Saccharomyces cerevisiae S288C: one gene and its partner. The protein of the gene in region 1 binds, or shares a complex with, the protein of each later gene. Links are inferred from orthologs where the notes say so. Each region holds a gene or a part of one and is shown in the gene's direction. Other genes may lie near its edges.

Region 1 (10,933 bases):
CGACCATAGCATGAGTTCGCATACAAGAATGGTCTACCCAAACCAACACCTTTAGCACCTAGACATAACGCTTTCAAGACATCTGTACCACGACGAACACCACCGTCCACGAAAACTTCCAACTTATCCTTCAAGTTACGTTGTTCCAGGATTGGCATGGTTTCAGCCAGGACTTCAATGGGAGCCCTTGAAAAATCTAATTGTCTACCACCATGATTGGATAGAACCACCCCACTTACACCGATTTCTGCTGCTTTGATAACATCTTCGGTACGTTGAACACCTTTGATAACAATAGGTAGTTTTGTCTTTTTCTTCAACTCTTCTATATCTTTCCAAGTCAAAGAGGGGTCAATAAACTTTGATAACGCTCTCGAAGCACCTTGAGATTCTTCTACATTAGTTTTCTTCATCGCTTTTGGACCAGCCTTTGTATTGGAAAATTTCAGCTTCATATCTTTTTCTCTTTGACCTAAACTTGGAGCATCCACAGTGACAAATAATGCCTTTACACCCAGCTTTTCTACATTTTTAACCAAATCATCAGTGATCTTTCTATCAGAGTTAACATATAGTTGGTACCATTGAATTTGTTTATCAGAGGGTGCTGCTTCAATAATTTCCTCAGGGGAACATGAAGCCAAAGTAGATATCATTTGTGGGACTTTTGTCACACCTTGGCCACAACCTCTGGCGACATCTTTTTCACCTTCTAAGGGGTTTCCCAGTTTACACAAAGCTGTAGCAGACACGTAGAAGGGAACATCCACATGAGAACCCAACATGTCAGTTGAAATGTCTACTTTGCGTACATCTACAAGGATCTTTGGTTTGAAAAAAATCCTATGATAAGCATTATGGTTTTCTCTGTGAGTAACTTCGTCGTTAGCACCGGAGGAATAGTAGGCCCACGCTTGTTTAGTCAAAGTTTGAGAGGCCAAGTATTCAAAGTCGTAAAGGTTAATAATATTATCTAGAGGAGGTAGCAGCGATTTTAGTTGTTCTTTTCTAGCGATATCTTCCTTAGTTTCACCAGGAGCATAAGGAGGACAGACAAGTTCAGGAGGCATGGATCCTTGAAGGGGACCCAATTTTTTCTCGGGAGCTATATACTTATCGATGACATTAGGAGCATGTAGTGGTTCAAAAATAGCAGTGACATCTTTCCCGGCGTTAAACTTGATAACATCCTGCCCACCTGGATGATTTGGTAGGAATCGCGTTAAGTCGTATACGTAACCATTGATCACAACCCAACAATCATCGGGCTTGTTATGCTTGGCAACTTCAGCGGGCGAAATCTTTTGTTTATTCATATCCAGTTTCGGCTCGTTGTCTATTTGGCCATTATGCCAGTTTAGATACGCCACGGAACTAGTAGCGGCTAGAATTGCACCGACTCTCAAGGCAGTCCATGACTGTGTGCGTTTTCTTGAGTCTTGTTCGAACGACTTGGATTTTGGAACGGTAGAACCGTACGCGCGGATTGTGTTCAATCTAGTCTTAGACGCTCTGAGGATAGCAGCCTCACAGTTCTTCGAGATTTTTAGTAAAGGTTTGTATTTTAGCATTGACTACTTTTGTTTGCTTTCTTCTCTATGCGGGAACTGTATTAGCGACATAGGATGTAAGAATACGAAAAGATGCAAGAAGATTAGTCGACCAGGTACTTATATATTCACATACTCCAACTGAAAGTATTGGAGATCTAAGGTTCAGCAGTTGGTTCTTGGCGGTTCTTGTATGACATTATTATTGGTCGGGTCGTAGTTCTCTCGAACAGGAGGAGGGGGCAAGGAGATATCGGCAGGCTTTTTGCTAGCGCCTTGTTTGAAAAGCGTGGGGGTAGGTCTCCAAGCGATTATTGAGGAAGTAGTTTCAAGTATTACAGAGTCCAGGGCACAAGGGTCTTCATTATAGAGAGAGAATTTTCGTGAAAAAAATGGGCAGAATGCCACATGTTAGCAATGCAACGACTTGAGTGGGGGGTGATCCTTCCGATGTATGCGTGAAAGATCTCGTGTTGTGCAGGAAAGGGAATCATTTCGGAAAAAAAAGATGCAACAAGGAGGATGGCATGTGGATACTACGTTCTTGCGTAATATCCTTTTTGTTGCCTGTGTTAATACGTGAGCAACATTTTTTGTTAAAGTAGGCGATCAACTATTGCCCCCTGATATTGGTAGTAATTCTGCTAAAATATCGGCTGAGAAATGGTGATTCTCAAATAATTGCTGGGATTCCACTGGATATGGCCCCATTCTTAGATATATGGAACGTAGTAGAAGGCCTCTTAGAGGCTATGGGAGTCTCTCAAGAGAAAATCGACATTTTTACGTAATCATTCGTTCATTTCACTTTATACGTCATGATTCAATATCGTATTACTTTATCAAGTACCCGCGTTTAAACTTCATTAAATGACTGCGTCTCAATCTTTATGTCATCCTCCCTCCGCAAGTGACAATGTACTGGTAAAATAAAAACTAACTAACTAGATGATATTTTTAGAGTTTTATTCCAACGTTTCTCAATAGGCGATGGAGGAACAGAGTGAATATAAGAGGCTCTGTGGATTTATGGTTACCGGATTTATTTCGTAAATTCTTATTGAAGAATGGGTGAATTTTGAGATAATCGTTGGGATTCCATTTTTAATAAGGCAATAATATTAGGTATGTAGAATGTACTAGAAGTTCTCCTCGAGGATTTAGGAATCCATAAAAGGGAATCTGCAATTCTACACAATTCTATAAATATTATTATCATCATTTTATATGTTAATATTCATTGATCCTATTACATTATCAATCCTTGCGTTTCAGCTTCCACTAATTTAGATGACTATTTCTCATCATTTGCGTCATCTTCTAACACCGTATATGATAATATACTAGTAACGTAAATACTAGTTAGTAGATGATAGTTGATTTTTATTCCAACACTTATATTCTATATATCCATAACATTGTCTACATATAATCCGAGAGGTTACGACAACATTCATATAATAAGGGTAGTACTGACACTTTATTTTGAAGTAAATCAAAATAGTCACTCTCGGTAGCCAAGTTGGTTTAAGGCGCAAGACTGTAATTTACCACTACGAAATCTTGAGATCGGGCGTTCGACTCGCCCCCGGGAGATATTTTTTTTCCCTTTTTCTCCAGGCCTAGTGAGGTTTGAGTTTTGAACGTTTTATAGATAGATGTAAGGTAGCCAGAATGAGCACTTAGCCTTTAAAGTAAATTGAGTAGAGATACGTAAACAGTCGTGATAAATATGTAATACATTGTATTATTTTAAATAGGTTAAATTTTCTTTTTTTTTTTTCCATTTCATTTTCATTTTCATTTCCTGCAGTTATTTTTTTTCTTATTAATCTATATCCATGTAATCGTTAGCGATATTGTTGTTAGTCAACGCGGCCATGGCAGTACCGGGTGCTTGTGATGCAATTATACTTTGGGATGGTAGAAGATGATACTGGTGTTGTATAATACTAGCACTTCCAGTAGGACTCGTGCCTGTTATGTCGCGATTAGTGTTACCGAAATAACCATGAATCATGTACTCTTCTGTTTCAGAATAAAATTCAGATTCGTTCAGTAAGCGGCTGTTCATAGTGTGGTGCATACTAACCGGTTTCAGGGGACATATTTCGATATTTTTTTTATAATGAATATTATTGTAGGTTGCAGTATTATTGCTGTTATTATGATTATGGTTATTATTATTATTATTGTTGTTGTTGTTGTTGTTGATGATGATGTTGTTGTTGTTGTTATTAAGATTAGCACACCCGGAACCGACCGAAAACTTTGTACTTACAGAATCTCGTTTTGTTCTCTTCGATCTTTGGTAGAAAGTGTGTGTATCAAACTCGAAATGGTCATTTTTTCTTTTATTCATGATCGTATCATTATTGGCGTCGCTGTTGTATGTAGTGGCGGCATTGCTACCGGAATTGCAATTGTTTGTTTGGAACGCAGTATTGTGTTCATAGTATGAGAGCATTTCACGCAGCACACTTGAGTCTTAAATTAATGAATAAAAGCAGCCAACCCCAAGAAAAAAGAGCCCTTATCTGTTTCTGTCGCAGTCCTATTGTATTCTTCCTAACTATATAATTTTGTCAAAATGAAAAATATAAAAAAAATAATAAAGTCAGCTGAGTGGTAAAGAGAAAGCAAAGGGAGAGAAAAATCGGTTACCCAGATGGATTAGGTTACCCAGATGTCATACGTGTATCATGATTTCTAGAAATTATTACCCTGTTTGGTACCATGACAACGGATATGGCAATCTTGCATTAAGTAAAATGTCTCTAATGGGACCGTGAAGGTACAAAACAGCAATGGTCTAGGTAGTGGCATTCGAAGCTTCGAAAGCGTGGCCTCGCCTCGAGCGTGAAGTCATATTTTCTCACTCTGCACTGCCGTGCTGTGCCATGTAGCCCACTGTATGCCTCTAGCACCCCAATCGGGAAAATTGTAAACATTAGCAGGTGTCGCCTCGAGGCCCCCGATACATTTTTCAACATCTCCTCGATACTTAAACAGCAAACAAACAAGCAACACCCACGCAAGAAGATTTATTAATACCTCTTGACTCCCGTAGATATTGAAGAGACTAAGTATAGTAACGCATATCCGCACAATACTATGGTTAAGGTCTGGAATATAGTACTACGTCTGGTAGTGTTGCTGTTTTTAGCAGGTAATACCTTGCTGTTAATTTTGATGATTATATCTGGTGCCACGGACCATTACCCCGTGAACAGATTCTATTGGGTGCAGGGCAATACAACAGGCATACCTAATGCTGGGGATGAAACACGTTGGACGTTTTGGGGCGCCTGTCTACAGGATAAAGACGGGTCGGATACCTGCACAAGCAATTTGGCACCTGCATACCCCATTTCCCCAGTAGATAACTTCAACACACACATCAATGTCCCTCACCAGTTTATTTCCAAAAGAGACGCTTTTTACTACCTGACTAGATTTTCATTTTGTTTCTTTTGGATTGCGCTTGCCTTTGTAGGTGTGTCGTTTATCCTTTACGTTTTGACTTGGTGCTCGAAGATGCTTTCAGAGATGGTGCTTATCCTCATGTCTTTTGGGTTTGTCTTCAATACGGCAGCCGTTGTCTTGCAAACGGCCGCCTCTGCCATGGCAAAGAATGCTTTCCATGACGATCATCGTAGTGCCCAATTGGGTGCCTCTATGATGGGTATGGCTTGGGCAAGTGTCTTTTTATGTATCGTGGAATTTATCCTGCTGGTCTTCTGGTCTGTTAGGGCAAGGTTGGCCTCTACTTACTCCATCGACAATTCAAGATACAGAACCTCCTCCAGATGGAATCCCTTCCATAGAGAGAAGGAGCAAGCAACTGACCCAATATTGACTGCCACTGGACCTGAAGACATGCAACAAAGTGCAAGCATAGTGGGGCCTTCTTCCAATGCTAATCCGGTCACTGCCACTGCTGCTACGGAAAACCAACCTAAAGGTATTAACTTCTTCACTATAAGAAAATCACACGAGCGCCCGGACGATGTCTCTGTTTAAATGGCGCAAGTTTTCCGCTTTGTAATATATATTTATACCCCTTTCTTCTCTCCCCTGCAATATAATAGTTTAATTCTAATATTAATAATATCCTATATTTTCTTCATTTACCGGCGCACTCTCGCCCGAACGACCTCAAAATGTCTGCTACATTCATAATAACCAAAAGCTCATAACTTTTTTTTTTGAACCTGAATATATATACATCACATATCACTGCTGGTCCTTGCCGACCAGCGTATACAATCTCGATAGTTGGTTTCCCGTTCTTTCCACTCCCGTCATGGACTACAACAAGAGATCTTCGGTCTCAACCGTGCCTAATGCAGCTCCCATAAGAGTCGGATTCGTCGGTCTCAACGCAGCCAAAGGATGGGCAATCAAGACACATTACCCCGCCATACTGCAACTATCGTCACAATTTCAAATCACTGCCTTATACAGTCCAAAAATTGAGACTTCTATTGCCACCATTCAGCGTCTAAAATTGAGTAATGCCACTGCTTTTCCCACTTTAGAGTCATTTGCATCATCTTCCACTATAGATATGATAGTGATAGCTATCCAAGTGGCCAGCCATTATGAAGTTGTTATGCCTCTCTTGGAATTCTCCAAAAATAATCCGAACCTCAAGTATCTTTTCGTAGAATGGGCCCTTGCATGTTCACTAGATCAAGCCGAATCCATTTATAAGGCTGCTGCTGAACGTGGGGTTCAAACCATCATCTCTTTACAAGGTCGTAAATCACCATATATTTTGAGAGCAAAAGAATTAATATCTCAAGGCTATATCGGCGACATTAATTCGATCGAGATTGCTGGAAATGGCGGTTGGTACGGCTACGAAAGGCCTGTTAAATCACCAAAATACATCTATGAAATCGGGAACGGTGTAGATCTGGTAACCACAACATTTGGTCACACAATCGATATTTTACAATACATGACAAGTTCGTACTTTTCCAGGATAAATGCAATGGTTTTCAATAATATTCCAGAGCAAGAGCTGATAGATGAGCGTGGTAACCGATTGGGCCAGCGAGTCCCAAAGACAGTACCGGATCATCTTTTATTCCAAGGCACATTGTTAAATGGCAATGTTCCAGTGTCATGCAGTTTCAAAGGTGGCAAACCTACCAAAAAATTTACCAAAAATTTGGTCATTGACATTCACGGTACCAAGGGAGATTTGAAACTTGAAGGCGATGCCGGCTTCGCAGAAATTTCAAATCTGGTCCTTTACTACAGTGGAACTAGAGCAAACGACTTCCCGCTAGCCAATGGACAACAAGCTCCTTTAGACCCGGGGTATGATGCAGGTAAAGAAATCATGGAAGTATATCATTTACGAAATTATAATGCCATTGTGGGTAATATTCATCGACTGTATCAATCTATCTCTGACTTCCACTTCAATACAAAGAAAATTCCTGAATTACCCTCACAATTTGTAATGCAAGGTTTCGATTTCGAAGGCTTTCCCACCTTGATGGATGCTCTGATATTACACAGGTTAATCGAGAGCGTTTATAAAAGTAACATGATGGGCTCCACATTAAACGTTAGCAATATCTCGCATTATAGTTTATAAAAGCATCTTGCCCTGTGCTTGGCCCCCAGTGCAGCGAACGTTATAAAAACGAATACTGAGTATATATCTATGTAAAACAACCATATCATTTCTTGTTCTGAACTTTGTTTACCTAACTAGTTTTAAATTTCCCTTTTTCGTGCATGCGGGTGTTCTTATTTATTAGCATACTACATTTGAAATATCAAATTTCCTTAGTAGAAAAGTGAGAGAAGGTGCACTGACACAAAAAATAAAATGCTACGTATAACTGTCAAAACTTTGCAGCAGCGGGCATCCTTCCATCATAGCTTCAAACATATTAGCGTTCCTGATCTTCATACCCGTGCTCAAAATGATCAAACAAACTGTTATTGCCAAGAAATAAACGCAAGGCTGCCTTCAAAAACTGATCCATTAGATCCTCATATCAAGCTTCCTCATAGAACGCCCAATTACAATAAGCATGTTTTGCTGTTATCACCGGGTGATAGGTTTGCTCAACCATGGAAGGTAGCATGGAATCATAATTTGGATACTAATACAAATCGGCCATATAATGCCATTAGTAAATTGCGCTCCCATTTAGGTGGTTCTCCAGGAATACTAATAAATGCGGTGCATTTGCAAAATGAATTTATTCCAAGGCCAAAACAACACGATGAATGGCTTTATTTTTTTGTTATTCCTGACATGAAGCTTTATGTAATTAAGGAAACGGACATCGAGGAATTTGCATCTTTTTTAGATGAAGGAGCTATTCAAGCACCAAAGCTATCCTTCCAGGATTATTTAAGCGGTAAGGCCAAGGCTTCCCAACAGGTTCATGAAGTGCATCATAGAAAGCTTACAAGGTTTCAGGGTGAAACTTTTCTAAGAGATTGGAACTTAGTCTGTGGGCATTATAAGAGAGATGCTAAGTGTGGAGAAATGGGACCCGACATAATTGCAGCATTTCAAGATGAAAAGCTTTTTCCTGAGAATAATCTAGCCTTAATTTCTCATATTGGGGGTCATATTTTTGCTGGTAATGTCATTTTCTATAAACTATTCGGCAGAGAAAAGATGCAAAACAAGCTGGATTCATTATGGTTTGGTAAAGTTTACCCACACAACTTGAAGCTGTTATGTGAAAACTTGGAAAACGGTAAAATCATCGACGAAATGTACAGAGGTGGCATATCGATGAATTAAAACGGTTTCCTTTTAAAACAGAAATAAAGATGAGGTGAAATTTTATATTTCTTATATTTAAAGCTATCATATATTCCTTGTACATATATTTATTAAGAAAATACATTAACACGCCTTTATACTTGGTATTATTACTGTAAAATCATTACATGTAATTTGTTCTGACTTCGTTGATTGTTTGAATTATATCCTCCACTTGTACACTCTTTAAATTTTTGGCCAAAAATTCCTGCTCATTCAAGGAAAGTCTCAGGAAATTTTCACATAAATCACCATCAATAACTTTACGTACAGGGGCATAATAGCTTCTGTATTCTTGGTGGTCTCTACCTAAAATGGAACAGGAACCCTCACATATTATTTCATCCTCTATACCATGCCGTCCTTGTAACACAACACTTCCAGATTCCTCTTCATCGTCTTCCTTACGCATATTGTTATTCTTCTTTCTTGATTCATAATCTAAATAAAACGTATCATCCGCCTCAGCCATTATATTCTCAATGTTTCCCATCATAAAAACATTCCCCTTGGATAATAAGGGGATAAAGCATCCCACGGTTCCTTGTAAGCCCATATAGATACAACCAGGTCTATCAGAATTTGAAAGGCTGTCCAGGATATGGAAATCAGTGATGATATCATTAACAAAGAAGTGGTTCAGTAGTTGAAACTTGAACTTGCAATCATAAGTATTGGGTAATTTCTGCTGTAAAGTGATGACGTCTAGTGGGTACTTGATGGCCCCATTAGATAATTCGCTGGGATCATGATTTGACATGATTTTTTCGCACTCTGGTGGAGACCTTAAAGTCCACGCATTTCCATATCTATCAGCGCCTATAACAGTTGCCTCATCTAGAAATTTCAATACCGTCACATGGCGTTTTACAGAGTCATCTACGTACGGAATAAATACATTCCCCGCAGGATCCCAGATAAATAAAGTGACAGATTCATGTATATCACCAACGGCCAGTCTTTCATAATTCCACTGGTGCATAGACACAATTTTTGTTATGGATACCGGGGTCTGTGTTACGGACCTTCTTAATAATTGCTTTTTCCCCAAACCATAAAGGACAATAGTGGAGCCCATGGCTGTCAGCAAGAAGTTTTTAAACTTCAACATAGCATGTATTGGTGAAATGATTTCTGTTTGGTGAAGTAATTCAATATCAAAAGATAGTTTATCTTTGTTAACTAATATCTTGTATGTTAACAGCCTTTTGTCGCCAGCACAAATGATCAAATGATCAGCTTGTCTTGTGAAATCTATTATAGCAGCGGAAACGCAATCGATATCGTCCAGTATCTTGTATAAATGATCCGAACTGCCAAACTTTAAGCATTCACCATCAATTTGCAGTGATATACGGCATTGTTTCTTACCACTGTGATTATCAATAAACAAAATGCTTTTCGGATTATTGGGAAATGATAAAATAGTACGAGGTCGGAATGTAGATATTTGTAACATTTCCATTTCTTCTTCCATTTCATCTTCTTCCTCTTCATTGCTTTCATCTCCTCCACCGTTCTCTTGCTTGTTAACACTTGATTCATGAACGTGAAACCAGTTATCCAAAGTTGGAAAGTTGGAAACTCTGCCAATATTTAAGCGTCCTGAGCTCGATATTGAACAAACACCGTTGATTGCAACATCTGCGTTAACAAATTTGGAACAACTTAGCATGTTTTGATCCTTTAACTGCCGTATGGTCCACACATTTTTCCACGTGTAGCTTACCCATGTAGAAGAGGAATGGCAAACCACGCATGACATCCATTTAGCTCCACTACTATTTATTTCTTCTTCTTCTTTTTCATCATCATCGTCTTCTTCTTCTTCTTCTTCTTCCTCATTATTTAGTGATACAGATATCTCACGCAAATACGAAAGGGAAACAGGCTTCAAGCCAAGGAATCGCCTTTTTATGTCAGTGAACGATCCGTCAACATCCCCTATATGAAATTTCATGTAAACGCCATTTTCTAAACCTACATGCAAATTAAGCTGTCCTATTGAGGAATCTCTAACCATTATCATGTCAGAAATCTTTTCACTAACTAATTGCAAACTTATTACAGTTAAAAAATCTTCCTTTTGGTCTTTAAGAGACATTATTTTGATCATACCCTCATTGTCAGCAATGGCTAATAAATCAGCATGCTGCGTATCTTGCACAATCGCAACTTTAGAGGGCATTGTGTCCAATTCTGGGTGGGTGGTTAATTCGATTAACGAATCCGAAGATACATCTATCTTGAAATAAACCAATTCGTAATTTGATAATGATATAATTAGTTGTGTTTTCGAGGACGTGGCACATACAATACGAATTCCCGCTGGTGGCACCCAAGTCAGCTTATTAGAATACCTAGATTTACCAGTCGGTACGATATGTCTTAGTTCTGCGGTGCATACTTGGATAATAGAGTGTGAGCCCATTAGGCATGTATGAATTGTTGTGTCCTGAGAGAGCTTGAAAGCTGAACGCGTTGCTTCATCCGGTGTTAGTTCCTCCATGGACTCGTTGTCAATTTGTAGTATCATAGTTTTCTTGGGAAAAGTTATGAACAAAAGAGTATTGTT
Region 2 (12,521 bases), on another chromosome or scaffold:
AAAGAAAAGGGAAAACAAACTTTGATAACAGGTGCACACTTGATGTTTACACTGAACCTCTTCGTGATATTGTGGAATATTTTGTATTTTATTGTGATCGACTGCAAACAATGGGATAATGCCGTTTCTGTATTGACGATGGACCCACAAGTGTGGGGCTATTTAATGCTTTATTCGTTCTGTGGCGCTATGGGACAATGCTTTATTTTCTATACTCTAGAACAATTTGGCTCTTTAGTTTTGATCATGATAACAGTCACCAGGAAAATGGTCTCGATGATTTTGAGTATTATTGTCTTCGGTAAGAGTGTACGTTTCCAGCAATGGGTGGGGATGTTTATAGTATTTGGTGGAATCACTTGGGAAGCACTCAACAAGAAGAAGGCTAATATACCGAAGGCAAAATCTGCGTAGATTAGTGAAGATCGCAACAAATAAAAGTTAATATTTATAAAATTTGTCTATACTATGTACTTCCTATTTTTTTGATGGACGAAGCAGTCTCTCTCTTAATTCAGGATCGTATGCATAAACATACAGACCACGCACGCCACGAGTTAAGAGGACATTAATGCTATTCATAATAATCTTTTGCTTAACGTCCTCTGCATTGTGAATGTTTTTCTTTTTGGTGAAACCGGCCCTATCGTCATACAGCTCTGGTCTTAGTTTGATGCAGTCATTAGCCGCATCATACCCAATGGAACGGCCCAAAATTACACCAGCATAATTCAGATCAAACCCTTGGATAGTATACACACTACCTACCTCATCAATCGTGTCGCAACGCTCACTCCAAGGCGTCACTTCACGTGGAGTATAGCGATCCCAGCGAACTTTGAAATTGTCACCACATTCAACGTAATAGTCTTTTCCGTCCAAGCGATAGGGAAAATCGTAAGTAGATAGCATCCTACATTGGCCGTATTGACGGTCTTTCTCCTTGATTGCCTCGTACATGGCGCCACAATCATCCCAAATTTTGAAATCAAAATTCTTAATTTTATCGTCAGCACAATCTGCATTGCCCTTAGATAGCACAGATTCAATTGGTGGGATTTTACCTGCGACACTAATTTGGTCAATCCAGTTCAACACGTTTTGTGGGGCAGCAACCCTAAACTGCTGTTTTAAAGTGTACCAGTCTCTGGATTTTGGTGGAATCTCGTTGTAAAAGTCCTTTAAAGTGGCACCGTTATTAGAACCTTCATCCCAATAGGAACCCATTCTTAAAGCTTGCTTATCATCGTAAACCAATACAAGCACTTTACAAAGGGACATTAAGTCTTTGAGATGGTTTTCGCCATAAAATCTTTTGAAAGCATCCTTAGAAGTGGCCAACAAATGTGCTTCATCTACAATGACTACATCGGCCATGACTTTTCTCTTCTGTAGATTGTTGATCAACGAAGTGGGCCGTTCTAGTGACGATTTAGAAATATATTTGAAACTGTCACTAATCCGGATATATAACTTTAACATCTCGGGATGGTTGACTACCAGATAATTATGTGTCCCATGTAAGATATCTTCAGAAGAAGGTGAGAACTGGGATAGTTTCTGAATTTCATTGAACAAGGAGTTTAGAATCACAGACTTGCCTGTACCTGCGTCCCCTTGGATTACAAACATGGCCGGATGTTTCCAGTCAGACTTGTACTGAGATAAGTTGGAACGCATGAACGACAAAACGCGCTCTCTCAACTTTTCTTGTTCAGCAGAGAGTGTTACGTTAGACAACTTGTTCATAGCCTGCGTGGAGACCACGGGCCTAGGTGCTCTTCTTGGTCTCTTCACGCTTCTCACATTGCGGGAAATAGCTTTTGAAGTAGGCCCATGCATTTTATATGGTTCTAATGGAAGTTAAATGCTACTACCGGGTCGCCAAGAAAGATGCGATGCCATGCTGCATACATATGCATAGATTGTTTATATATGGCGATGGCTGCTTTTATGATTTCTCGAGAAAATTTTTCACTTTTTTCGGCCCTTTGAGATCTAAAGCCTCTTTTTTTTTTTTTTTTTGAACTGCATCGATACAAGAAGAATAGGGGGATGGGAAAGGCTTAATTGGAAGCACTGAGAACAGCAATTCACTCTGGTTGTTAGGTTGTGCTATTTGGTCGTGCTATGAATTGGAAGTCGTACGTTTTTCCCGGTGGTCATCCACCAGCTGCGTTGACCACAGGCCTTGTGGTATTTCTAACCGCTATTTACCTGTTAAGTTTTATTTTTGCCCTAAGGGAAGACCTGTCGTTGGCGCCAGAGTCATTGTTCAAACTGCAAATGAGCAGGCTATCGCTTTATCCTTTAATTCACCTATCATTGCCTCATTTACTGTTCAATGTGCTAGCCATCTGGGCACCCTTGAATCTCTTCGAAGAAACGCATGGGACTGTGTACACAGGTGTTTTTTTGAACCTGAGTGCTCTATTTGCCGGAATTCTGTACTGTTTGTTGGGTAAGTTGCTATATCCAGAAGCATTAGTTGCAGGCGCCAGTGGGTGGTGTTTCACCTTATTCGCATACTATAGTTTTAAAGAATCACAGATCCGCCCTAGAACAAGGATCTTTCGCACAGACTACTCAATTCCGACATTATATACACCCCTAGTACTATTAGTCGCAATTGCCGTCGTTATACCTGGCTCCAGTTTCTGGGGTCATTTTTTCGGCTTATGTGTCGGTTACGCCATAGGCTACAAGGAATCGTGGTTTAACAAGATCACTCCACCAGGATGGATCATCACCAAAATCGAAAAAAGTTTAGACGGTTTAATTCGATTAATACCTTGGGGAATTAAGTATTACAGAGATGAGGATATCGACAGAACTAAAGATTACGAACCGTTAATGTCCACAGAAACACCATTGCCTCTCCACAATGACAACTCCGGCACTGTCCTAGGGACTGCCTAGACATTTGTATCGCTATTCTTTCTTTCACAGTTTAAGGATGTATATAAATGTAGTATATATCATTTTATATTCTAATATGCAAGAATTTTCAGTCTCTTCTTTTTCCTTAGCGTGCGTTTATGAAAAAAAATGGAATATGAATAATTACTGGGAGGAAGACCAGGGGCAAGGGGTGAACCATCTTGTCATCTGAAATCTTGTATAAATAATTTAGTAATCAGTTCTTTAGGTTTTCGAGAGTGGCATACAACCTAAAGGGTCAACAGACAACAAGAAGGAAAGGAATTATAGGAGCAAATACACGCCCTTCAAATGGATCCCTTTCACAATGGCAATAAAAGGAGCTCAATATCGTTTGGCTCATCGCAGCGGCAGCCATATAACAAGAACAATTACTTGAGTGGTACTAATGGGCCTTCCTCGGCGGCACAAGATCAAGGTAGAGGCCCATCTCCCTTTGGAATGTCTGGCAACACTACCAATGGCGGTAACAGCAAAAGGAATAGTGGCTGTGACCTAAGTGCCACGTACTATGCAAGTCGATCGCCGATGTATTCACCGTTAGATTTCTCGCCACCAGTTTTTTCACCAAATCATTCTCAGTTACAGCAGGCGAGGGGCTATGCTGCAAATATTCCGGTTGTAAGCAATCTGATGAACCCTTCCATGGCCTCCGTGTGCGAATATCAATCACACTATCCACTCTTTGGGCTCGATTGGAGCGCCGACGACTACGTCTGCTTGGGTTCGTACAAAGAGGACAGCAGAAATAAGTTGCAGGTTCTGCACTCTAATGATCTACTGAGCTGGGAAAGCGTAGTGGACGCAGATGTGGTTTATCCTGTGAGCAAAATCCAATGGGTCCCCTCTCAATTGTATCCAAGGAAACTCGCGACGTGTTCTGACTCCTTACGGATTTGGAGCGTTAGCCCTGAGGAAAGACAGTTCCAAGAACAAATAAATCTATCTCTGTGTAAATACAATAGACAGCACCCCGCCAATCCCGCGGCCGCAGATGACATGAAGGTCATAGGCACTTTCCCACCAATAACATCATTTGACTGGAACACGGTCGATACTAACTTGATAATCTCAAGTTCCATCGACACCACATGCATTGTATGGGATCTGCAAAGCAGTCACTACGTTAAGACCCAATTGATCGCTCACGACAGCGAAGTTTTTGATGTAAGGTTTTTGACAAAATCGACCCAATTATTTGCTAGTTGTGGTGGGGACGGTAGTGTACGAGTATTTGATTTAAGATCGCTTGCGCACAGTACAATTATTTACGAGCCTCCCTCTTCCTCAGTGTCTGGAGCCACTGCGGGTACTATAACACCGTCGTCGAAAGGTTCGGACGCCTTATTGAGGCTGGAGCCATCACCGTATGACCCAAATGTGTTGGCCACTTTTGCAGCTGACTCGAACAAAATCATTATTCTAGATATGAGGAACCCAGAATCCCCTATACTAAACTTACAAGGCCACGGTTCTTCGGTAAACGGGATTAAATGGCATCCCACAAAGCGCAATGTTTTGCTCTCGTGCGGAGATGACTGCCAGGTGCTCTATTGGGACTTGAACAGCTCCTTTATGGAAATTAACGCTGCAGGTAGCAAATCCCCCAGTATTCATGGAACTTCCTTGGAGGACCCTGACGGCGACACAGAGATGACAGACGGTGGCGCAGGATCCGGTTTAAACGAGGATCCCTTAAGTTTAAACAACAACAGCAAGCAGGTGTGCAAGACACTAGAGACTCCTAACATGATGTATGCCAATAAAACACAAGAGATAAACAACATTGCATGGAGGCCCCAGAGGGGCGATTGGTTTGGGTGCGTGAGCGGCAAGAAGTTTCAAAACGTCCGCGTCCTTTGAGACAGCATTCGCCCAGTATTTTTTTTATTCTACAAACCTTCTATAATTTCAAAGTATTTACATAATTCTGTATCAGTTTAATCACCATAATATCGTTTTCTTTGTTTAGTGCAATTAATTTTTCCTATTGTTACTTCGGGCCTTTTTCTGTTTTATGAGCTATTTTTTCCGTCATCCTTCCCCAGATTTTCAGCTTCATCTCCAGATTGTGTCTACGTAATGCACGCCATCATTTTAAGAGAGGACAGAGAAGCAAGCCTCCTGAAAGATGAAGCTACTGTCTTCTATCGAACAAGCATGCGATATTTGCCGACTTAAAAAGCTCAAGTGCTCCAAAGAAAAACCGAAGTGCGCCAAGTGTCTGAAGAACAACTGGGAGTGTCGCTACTCTCCCAAAACCAAAAGGTCTCCGCTGACTAGGGCACATCTGACAGAAGTGGAATCAAGGCTAGAAAGACTGGAACAGCTATTTCTACTGATTTTTCCTCGAGAAGACCTTGACATGATTTTGAAAATGGATTCTTTACAGGATATAAAAGCATTGTTAACAGGATTATTTGTACAAGATAATGTGAATAAAGATGCCGTCACAGATAGATTGGCTTCAGTGGAGACTGATATGCCTCTAACATTGAGACAGCATAGAATAAGTGCGACATCATCATCGGAAGAGAGTAGTAACAAAGGTCAAAGACAGTTGACTGTATCGATTGACTCGGCAGCTCATCATGATAACTCCACAATTCCGTTGGATTTTATGCCCAGGGATGCTCTTCATGGATTTGATTGGTCTGAAGAGGATGACATGTCGGATGGCTTGCCCTTCCTGAAAACGGACCCCAACAATAATGGGTTCTTTGGCGACGGTTCTCTCTTATGTATTCTTCGATCTATTGGCTTTAAACCGGAAAATTACACGAACTCTAACGTTAACAGGCTCCCGACCATGATTACGGATAGATACACGTTGGCTTCTAGATCCACAACATCCCGTTTACTTCAAAGTTATCTCAATAATTTTCACCCCTACTGCCCTATCGTGCACTCACCGACGCTAATGATGTTGTATAATAACCAGATTGAAATCGCGTCGAAGGATCAATGGCAAATCCTTTTTAACTGCATATTAGCCATTGGAGCCTGGTGTATAGAGGGGGAATCTACTGATATAGATGTTTTTTACTATCAAAATGCTAAATCTCATTTGACGAGCAAGGTCTTCGAGTCAGGTTCCATAATTTTGGTGACAGCCCTACATCTTCTGTCGCGATATACACAGTGGAGGCAGAAAACAAATACTAGCTATAATTTTCACAGCTTTTCCATAAGAATGGCCATATCATTGGGCTTGAATAGGGACCTCCCCTCGTCCTTCAGTGATAGCAGCATTCTGGAACAAAGACGCCGAATTTGGTGGTCTGTCTACTCTTGGGAGATCCAATTGTCCCTGCTTTATGGTCGATCCATCCAGCTTTCTCAGAATACAATCTCCTTCCCTTCTTCTGTCGACGATGTGCAGCGTACCACAACAGGTCCCACCATATATCATGGCATCATTGAAACAGCAAGGCTCTTACAAGTTTTCACAAAAATCTATGAACTAGACAAAACAGTAACTGCAGAAAAAAGTCCTATATGTGCAAAAAAATGCTTGATGATTTGTAATGAGATTGAGGAGGTTTCGAGACAGGCACCAAAGTTTTTACAAATGGATATTTCCACCACCGCTCTAACCAATTTGTTGAAGGAACACCCTTGGCTATCCTTTACAAGATTCGAACTGAAGTGGAAACAGTTGTCTCTTATCATTTATGTATTAAGAGATTTTTTCACTAATTTTACCCAGAAAAAGTCACAACTAGAACAGGATCAAAATGATCATCAAAGTTATGAAGTTAAACGATGCTCCATCATGTTAAGCGATGCAGCACAAAGAACTGTTATGTCTGTAAGTAGCTATATGGACAATCATAATGTCACCCCATATTTTGCCTGGAATTGTTCTTATTACTTGTTCAATGCAGTCCTAGTACCCATAAAGACTCTACTCTCAAACTCAAAATCGAATGCTGAGAATAACGAGACCGCACAATTATTACAACAAATTAACACTGTTCTGATGCTATTAAAAAAACTGGCCACTTTTAAAATCCAGACTTGTGAAAAATACATTCAAGTACTGGAAGAGGTATGTGCGCCGTTTCTGTTATCACAGTGTGCAATCCCATTACCGCATATCAGTTATAACAATAGTAATGGTAGCGCCATTAAAAATATTGTCGGTTCTGCAACTATCGCCCAATACCCTACTCTTCCGGAGGAAAATGTCAACAATATCAGTGTTAAATATGTTTCTCCTGGCTCAGTAGGGCCTTCACCTGTGCCATTGAAATCAGGAGCAAGTTTCAGTGATCTAGTCAAGCTGTTATCTAACCGTCCACCCTCTCGTAACTCTCCAGTGACAATACCAAGAAGCACACCTTCGCATCGCTCAGTCACGCCTTTTCTAGGGCAACAGCAACAGCTGCAATCATTAGTGCCACTGACCCCGTCTGCTTTGTTTGGTGGCGCCAATTTTAATCAAAGTGGGAATATTGCTGATAGCTCATTGTCCTTCACTTTCACTAACAGTAGCAACGGTCCGAACCTCATAACAACTCAAACAAATTCTCAAGCGCTTTCACAACCAATTGCCTCCTCTAACGTTCATGATAACTTCATGAATAATGAAATCACGGCTAGTAAAATTGATGATGGTAATAATTCAAAACCACTGTCACCTGGTTGGACGGACCAAACTGCGTATAACGCGTTTGGAATCACTACAGGGATGTTTAATACCACTACAATGGATGATGTATATAACTATCTATTCGATGATGAAGATACCCCACCAAACCCAAAAAAAGAGTAAAATGAATCGTAGATACTGAAAAACCCCGCAAGTTCACTTCAACTGTGCATCGTGCACCATCTCAATTTCTTTCATTTATACATCGTTTTGCCTTCTTTTATGTAACTATACTCCTCTAAGTTTCAATCTTGGCCATGTAACCTCTGATCTATAGAATTTTTTAAATGACTAGAATTAATGCCCATCTTTTTTTTGGACCTAAATTCTTCATGAAAATATATTACGAGGGCTTATTCAGAAGCTTCGCTCATATAACGAAAAAAAAGGGTTTGGATCGAACGTAATTGAGATTGATTAGTTAATACTCAAAATAAAACAGCTCCTACCACCAGTGTAAAGTAGAACGTTAATAGAGCAATGTCTTCAGACAAATCTATTGAGAAAAATACAGATACGATCGCCTCTGAAGTTCACGAAGGTGATAATCATTCGAATAATTTGGGTTCAATGGAGGAAGAGATAAAATCAACGCCATCAGACCAATATGAAGAGATAGCTATAATTCCAACTGAGCCCCTCCATTCGGACAAAGAACTAAATGACAAGCAACAAAGTTTAGGCCATGAAGCACCCACAAATGTATCAAGAGAAGAACCTATTGGGATCTCTGGTGATGAAGACACCCAAATCACTGAACAAAACGTTAATGAACAAAGGCAAGAAACGAGAGAACCTAGTTCTGAAATTGATTTAAATGAGCCATTGGATGTTGAAAAAGATGTGACAACGGATGTGCAAGCCCCAAATGGGCTGAATATTGAAAAAGAATATGATGCAGTCAAAGAGAATGAGAAGGTTTACGCTGATACGAAAGAGGTTGTTAGTAGTCCAGAAAATAGGGAAGTAACTGGAAAAAATTCTGGAGGTGAGAAATCATCCTCGAGTAAATTTCTCGATGACGAATCTGGTACTACGACAGCTGCAAATGCGAACGACATTTCTATAAGTAGTGAAGTAACCCCAGAAAGGTCGTCAGAAAATGATAATAACCAGATTCATATTACCAATGAGGTAGCCGCAGGAATAAACTTGAATGAAAACAAGGAACAAAAAGCTGCTATAGAAGATGGGCCCGTAACAGCAGAGAATCTTTCCTCAGAAACTGCTAGGAAAGTACCACCTATACCCACACAAATCATAAATGAAAAAGGTGATAACTCAAGCGAGAACGAGGTTTCCGCAATTCCCACTACATCTTCGCCACCATTACCACCTAGACAAAATGTTGCGACATCAACGTCACCAAAATTACCTCCAAGGGGCAAACAAAGGGAACAACCACCGAAGACGAAGAATGCTGTTCCACCGCCACTAGAGGAAGAAATGAAGTCAGAGAAGTTCCGTAAAAACTTCGAAGAAACTAAAAGAAATAGTTATCATCATGTTCCTCTCACTGGTTCCAAAACTGCGCAATTAGAGTCCACTGCAGAAATTAATTTGATCGCTAGTCGTTACCGCAAGACCAGTCACCATTTGAATAAAGAGGGGGAAGAAACTAGAGAGTCGTTGCAGGAAGGTCAAAGCTTTTTAAAATCGACATTTACGTCATTTCTGGAGAACTTGTCCGAGTATAACGAAGTGGAGAATGTTAATGAAGAAGATAGAGAAATGTTTAAAATTGATTGGTCCTTCTGGACTCAAGTAGTTAATGATTATGCTACAGTGGCAAGCAACGAACCAGAAAATTTAGAAGCCCATGTTACCAATGGGATACCACCACAAATTCGAGGTATCATTTGGCAGCTGATGGCGAATTCCAAATCAAGAGAAATGGAAGATATATATGAAACTCTATTGGATACCGAATGTCTTCATGAAGCAACAATACGTAGAGATTTAAGGAGAACGAAGTTTGTGGCCGAGGACAAAATGGAGTCACTATACAAGGTAATAAAGGTGTATTCTGTTTATGATCCAGATGTTGGGTACACGCAAGGCATGGGGTTCATTGCAGCGCCGCTATTAATAAACTGTGAAAACGAGGCCGAATCTTTTGGACTACTCGTTGGATTAATGAAGAATTATGGATTAAGAGAGCTTTTCTTACCAGGAATGCCTGGGCTGATGTTAATGCTTTATCAATTTGATAGATTATTAGAGGAGCATTCACCTTCTTTGTACAATCGCTTGATCCGTGAGGGAATTAGCTCCACAATGTACGCTACACAATGGTTTTTGACATTTTTCGCATACAAGTTTCCGTTAGAGTTTGTGTTAAGAATTTTTGATATTGTATTCGTAGAGGGTATTGAAGTGCTTTTGAAGTTTGCTGTAAATTTAATGTTAAAGAATGAAGAAACTTTAGTAAAATTGAGATTCGATGAACTATTGGATTTTTTAAAGGACGAACTCTTCAATTACTATTTAATGGGAAACCAGGATGACGCTTCTGTAGTGCAAATGGGATTGTCAAATGGGAACTCATTTAAGGGCAATGATGACGGCACTTTTTCCTACAATGTCGATCTTTTCGTTCATGATGCAATGACAGGTGTATATATCACACCATTAACATTAAGAAGATACAGGGGAGAGTACGTAGAAATCCATGAAAAAGAGCAAAAAAAAGAGGACCACTACGAATCACTAAGAATTCAAAACCACCAACTACAAAGAGAGGCGCAGAAGCTAGAACACGACTATTCAATTTTGAACAAAGAGAATATCAGCGCCGCTAACGAGCTGATTCAGAACAGATTGAATATGGAGATGCTGTTGGATGAAAAAAACGACCTGATAAATACAATCACTGATATCAAAAGCCAAATTGAGGAAGAGATTCGCAAGCAAAATTTACCGAACCCGGACGCGTCACTACCAAAGGCAGATCTGAGAGAAGACTTGGAAAGGACCATATCCAGGAACAATGAGGTGATGAGGGAGAACGGCCAATTAGAGGAAAGAATCACTGAACTGCAAGCGGAAATCGATGAGTTGATTAACATCAATAAGGAGCAAGTGTCCACGGCATCGTTATTGGAACGAGATTCTAAGGCTAAAGGGAGGAAAGGCTGGACTGGTTTTAAAAAAGTTTTTAAATAGATGTATAGTTTTGCGCTGTGTGCACATTGTGTGCCTCTCCAATTTGTGTTAAAAAATGCATCACGACTCGTTTAGACAATGTTGTTGTTGTTGTTTTTTTTTTGACTGTATTTTCACCCGTACATCCACGGATGTGTTGGGTTTTTGTTTCCGCTTTACCGTGCGGGAGACGACCATGACCGAGAGGTCTGGTTGCGAAAGACGCACATACCGCGTGCGCGGAACTTTTTCATTGGGTTGCCAACCAAGGCTGTTCAGGGAAGCCCGACGAGGGAAGCTAGCATGAATGCACTAGGAGAGAGAGAGAGAGAGAGGCAGAGGAAGAGGCACATCATTGCATTTCTTGAATATTCGTTTTAATTAGCGTTAAGTCTTAAGTTCGTGTATTACCATAGTCAAAACAGAATAGAGAAGCAAGGATAATACAAAATGGCTGTCAAGACTGGTATGTTTACCTGAACTAATGAACTGTAGAGCAAAAGCAAAATGAACTGAACCACTAAGCCAACAACAGAAATACAAACAGGATGAGATTAAGCTCCAGAGATATGCAAACATCGTTTATATCCTGCACCCAGCGTTGCAGTACTCCGTGGAGTCTTTGTTTATTTATTTTGCTCGTATACTACGTGAGTACTAGTGTGCTTGTTACTAACATAAGATATTCTATTTTTTTCCTCTAGGTATCGCTATTGGTTTGAACAAGGGTAAGAAAGTCACCCAAATGACTCCAGCCCCAAAGATCTCCTACAAGAAGGGTGCTGCCTCCAACAGAACCAAGTTCGTCAGATCTTTGGTTAGAGAAATCGCCGGTTTGTCCCCATATGAAAGAAGATTGATCGATTTGATCAGAAACTCCGGTGAAAAGAGAGCCAGAAAGGTCGCCAAGAAGAGATTGGGTTCTTTCACCAGAGCCAAGGCTAAGGTCGAAGAAATGAACAACATCATTGCTGCCTCTCGTCGTCATTAAACAGCGTGAGGGGGCCACAGTCAAGCAAATCCAACTCCGCCACAAGACCGAGTGCTATTTTCCATGGCTCTCCCCCAAAGCTAGTTAATAAAAAATAAGTAACAAATCATTATAGTAATTCTTAATCGATATCTATTTAAGAAGTGTAACAGCACATGCAATGAACCGACTTCGTCATTCATTACCTCTGCTTTTCCCTTTTTCAACAGTCACGTGCGCATCTCCCTTCCGGGTAAGCACCGCACATGCCAAAGACCCTATCCTGGCTCGCCCACTCACTCATCTCCATTAGAGACTCAACCACATTTGTGGGTGTGTTACAGAAGTTACACCATACCCACTGTCCTGGTCCGCAACAGTTGCAAAATCAATGATGCCTGCTACCGTCATGCTATCATGACAAACGATGGCACCTTTGCCAAGCAAAAAACTGTAAACAAAACCAAACCAAGAAGTCCCTTGGGGTTGTGAGCCATATTCTCCATCTGCGTTGTTTCATAACCAGCCCAAAGGGTTGCACGTTCTCTTCCGTCGATCTGGAACCAAGCTGTGGCGCTGCGTGGAACCGTCCGGAAATCTACAGAAGCCGTTAGAAGAAAACAGAATAAACACACGTGACCCCGTCAGTGTGGAAAGCCGCGGGATCACCACCGTTATTCGTTTTTTTTAGCACGCGCGCGAAGATGACACATTGCACACCACATGTTTATGACCATTGTTATTACTCATTTCACTGTTATTTTGCATCCACATCCACACCCGGGTGGTTTTGCAATTCGGTAATTACTCCAC

Evidence for each region.
Region 2: the proteins of GAL80 (region 1) and GAL4 are in contact, whole or in part, in a crystal structure (PDB 3E1K), measured with the Kluyveromyces lactis proteins. The link is inferred for Saccharomyces cerevisiae S288C from one-to-one orthologs. Residues at the interface, in XP_451363.1 of Kluyveromyces lactis: Trp31, Lys34, Asn182, Gly184, Trp185, Pro191, Asp309, Ala310, Gly311, Phe312, Ser316, Asn317, Val319, Tyr321, Val368, His370, Arg372, Asn373, Ser376, Val377; in XP_453627.1 of Kluyveromyces lactis: Leu847, Phe848, Asn849, Thr850, Thr851, Thr852, Met853, Val856, Tyr857, Tyr859.

What each region holds. Positions count from the first base shown.
Region 1 is NC_001145.3:165,738-176,670, forward strand, and holds GAL80 (transcription regulator GAL80), read left to right. Parts: upstream 1-5,856; coding exon 5,857-7,164; downstream 7,165-10,933. Other genes in the region: CYB2 (L-lactate dehydrogenase (cytochrome)), read right to left, coding at 1-1,571; YML054C-A (uncharacterized protein), read right to left, coding at 1,886-2,044; YML053C (uncharacterized protein), read right to left, coding at 3,379-4,017; SUR7 (Sur7p), read left to right, coding at 4,665-5,573; AIM32 (Aim32p), read left to right, coding at 7,402-8,337; U2 snRNP complex subunit RSE1, read right to left, coding at 8,483-10,933. UniProt on the Saccharomyces cerevisiae protein: This protein is a negative regulator for the gene expression of the lactose/galactose metabolic genes. It binds to GAL4 and so blocks transcriptional activation by it, in the absence of an inducing sugar.
Region 2 is NC_001148.4:74,907-87,427, reverse strand, and holds GAL4 (galactose-responsive transcription factor GAL4), read left to right. Parts: upstream 1-5,071; coding exon 5,072-7,717; downstream 7,718-12,521. Other genes in the region: UDP-galactose transporter HUT1, read left to right, coding at 1-414; YPL245W (uncharacterized protein), read right to left, coding at 478-1,842; putative rhomboid protease RBD2, read left to right, coding at 2,131-2,919; YPL247C (uncharacterized protein), read left to right, coding at 3,232-4,803; GTPase-activating protein GYP5, read left to right, coding at 8,075-10,759; 60S ribosomal protein eL36 RPL36B, read left to right, coding at 11,189-11,204, 11,443-11,729. UniProt on the Saccharomyces cerevisiae protein: This protein is a positive regulator for the gene expression of the galactose-induced genes such as GAL1, GAL2, GAL7, GAL10, and MEL1 which code for the enzymes used to convert galactose to glucose.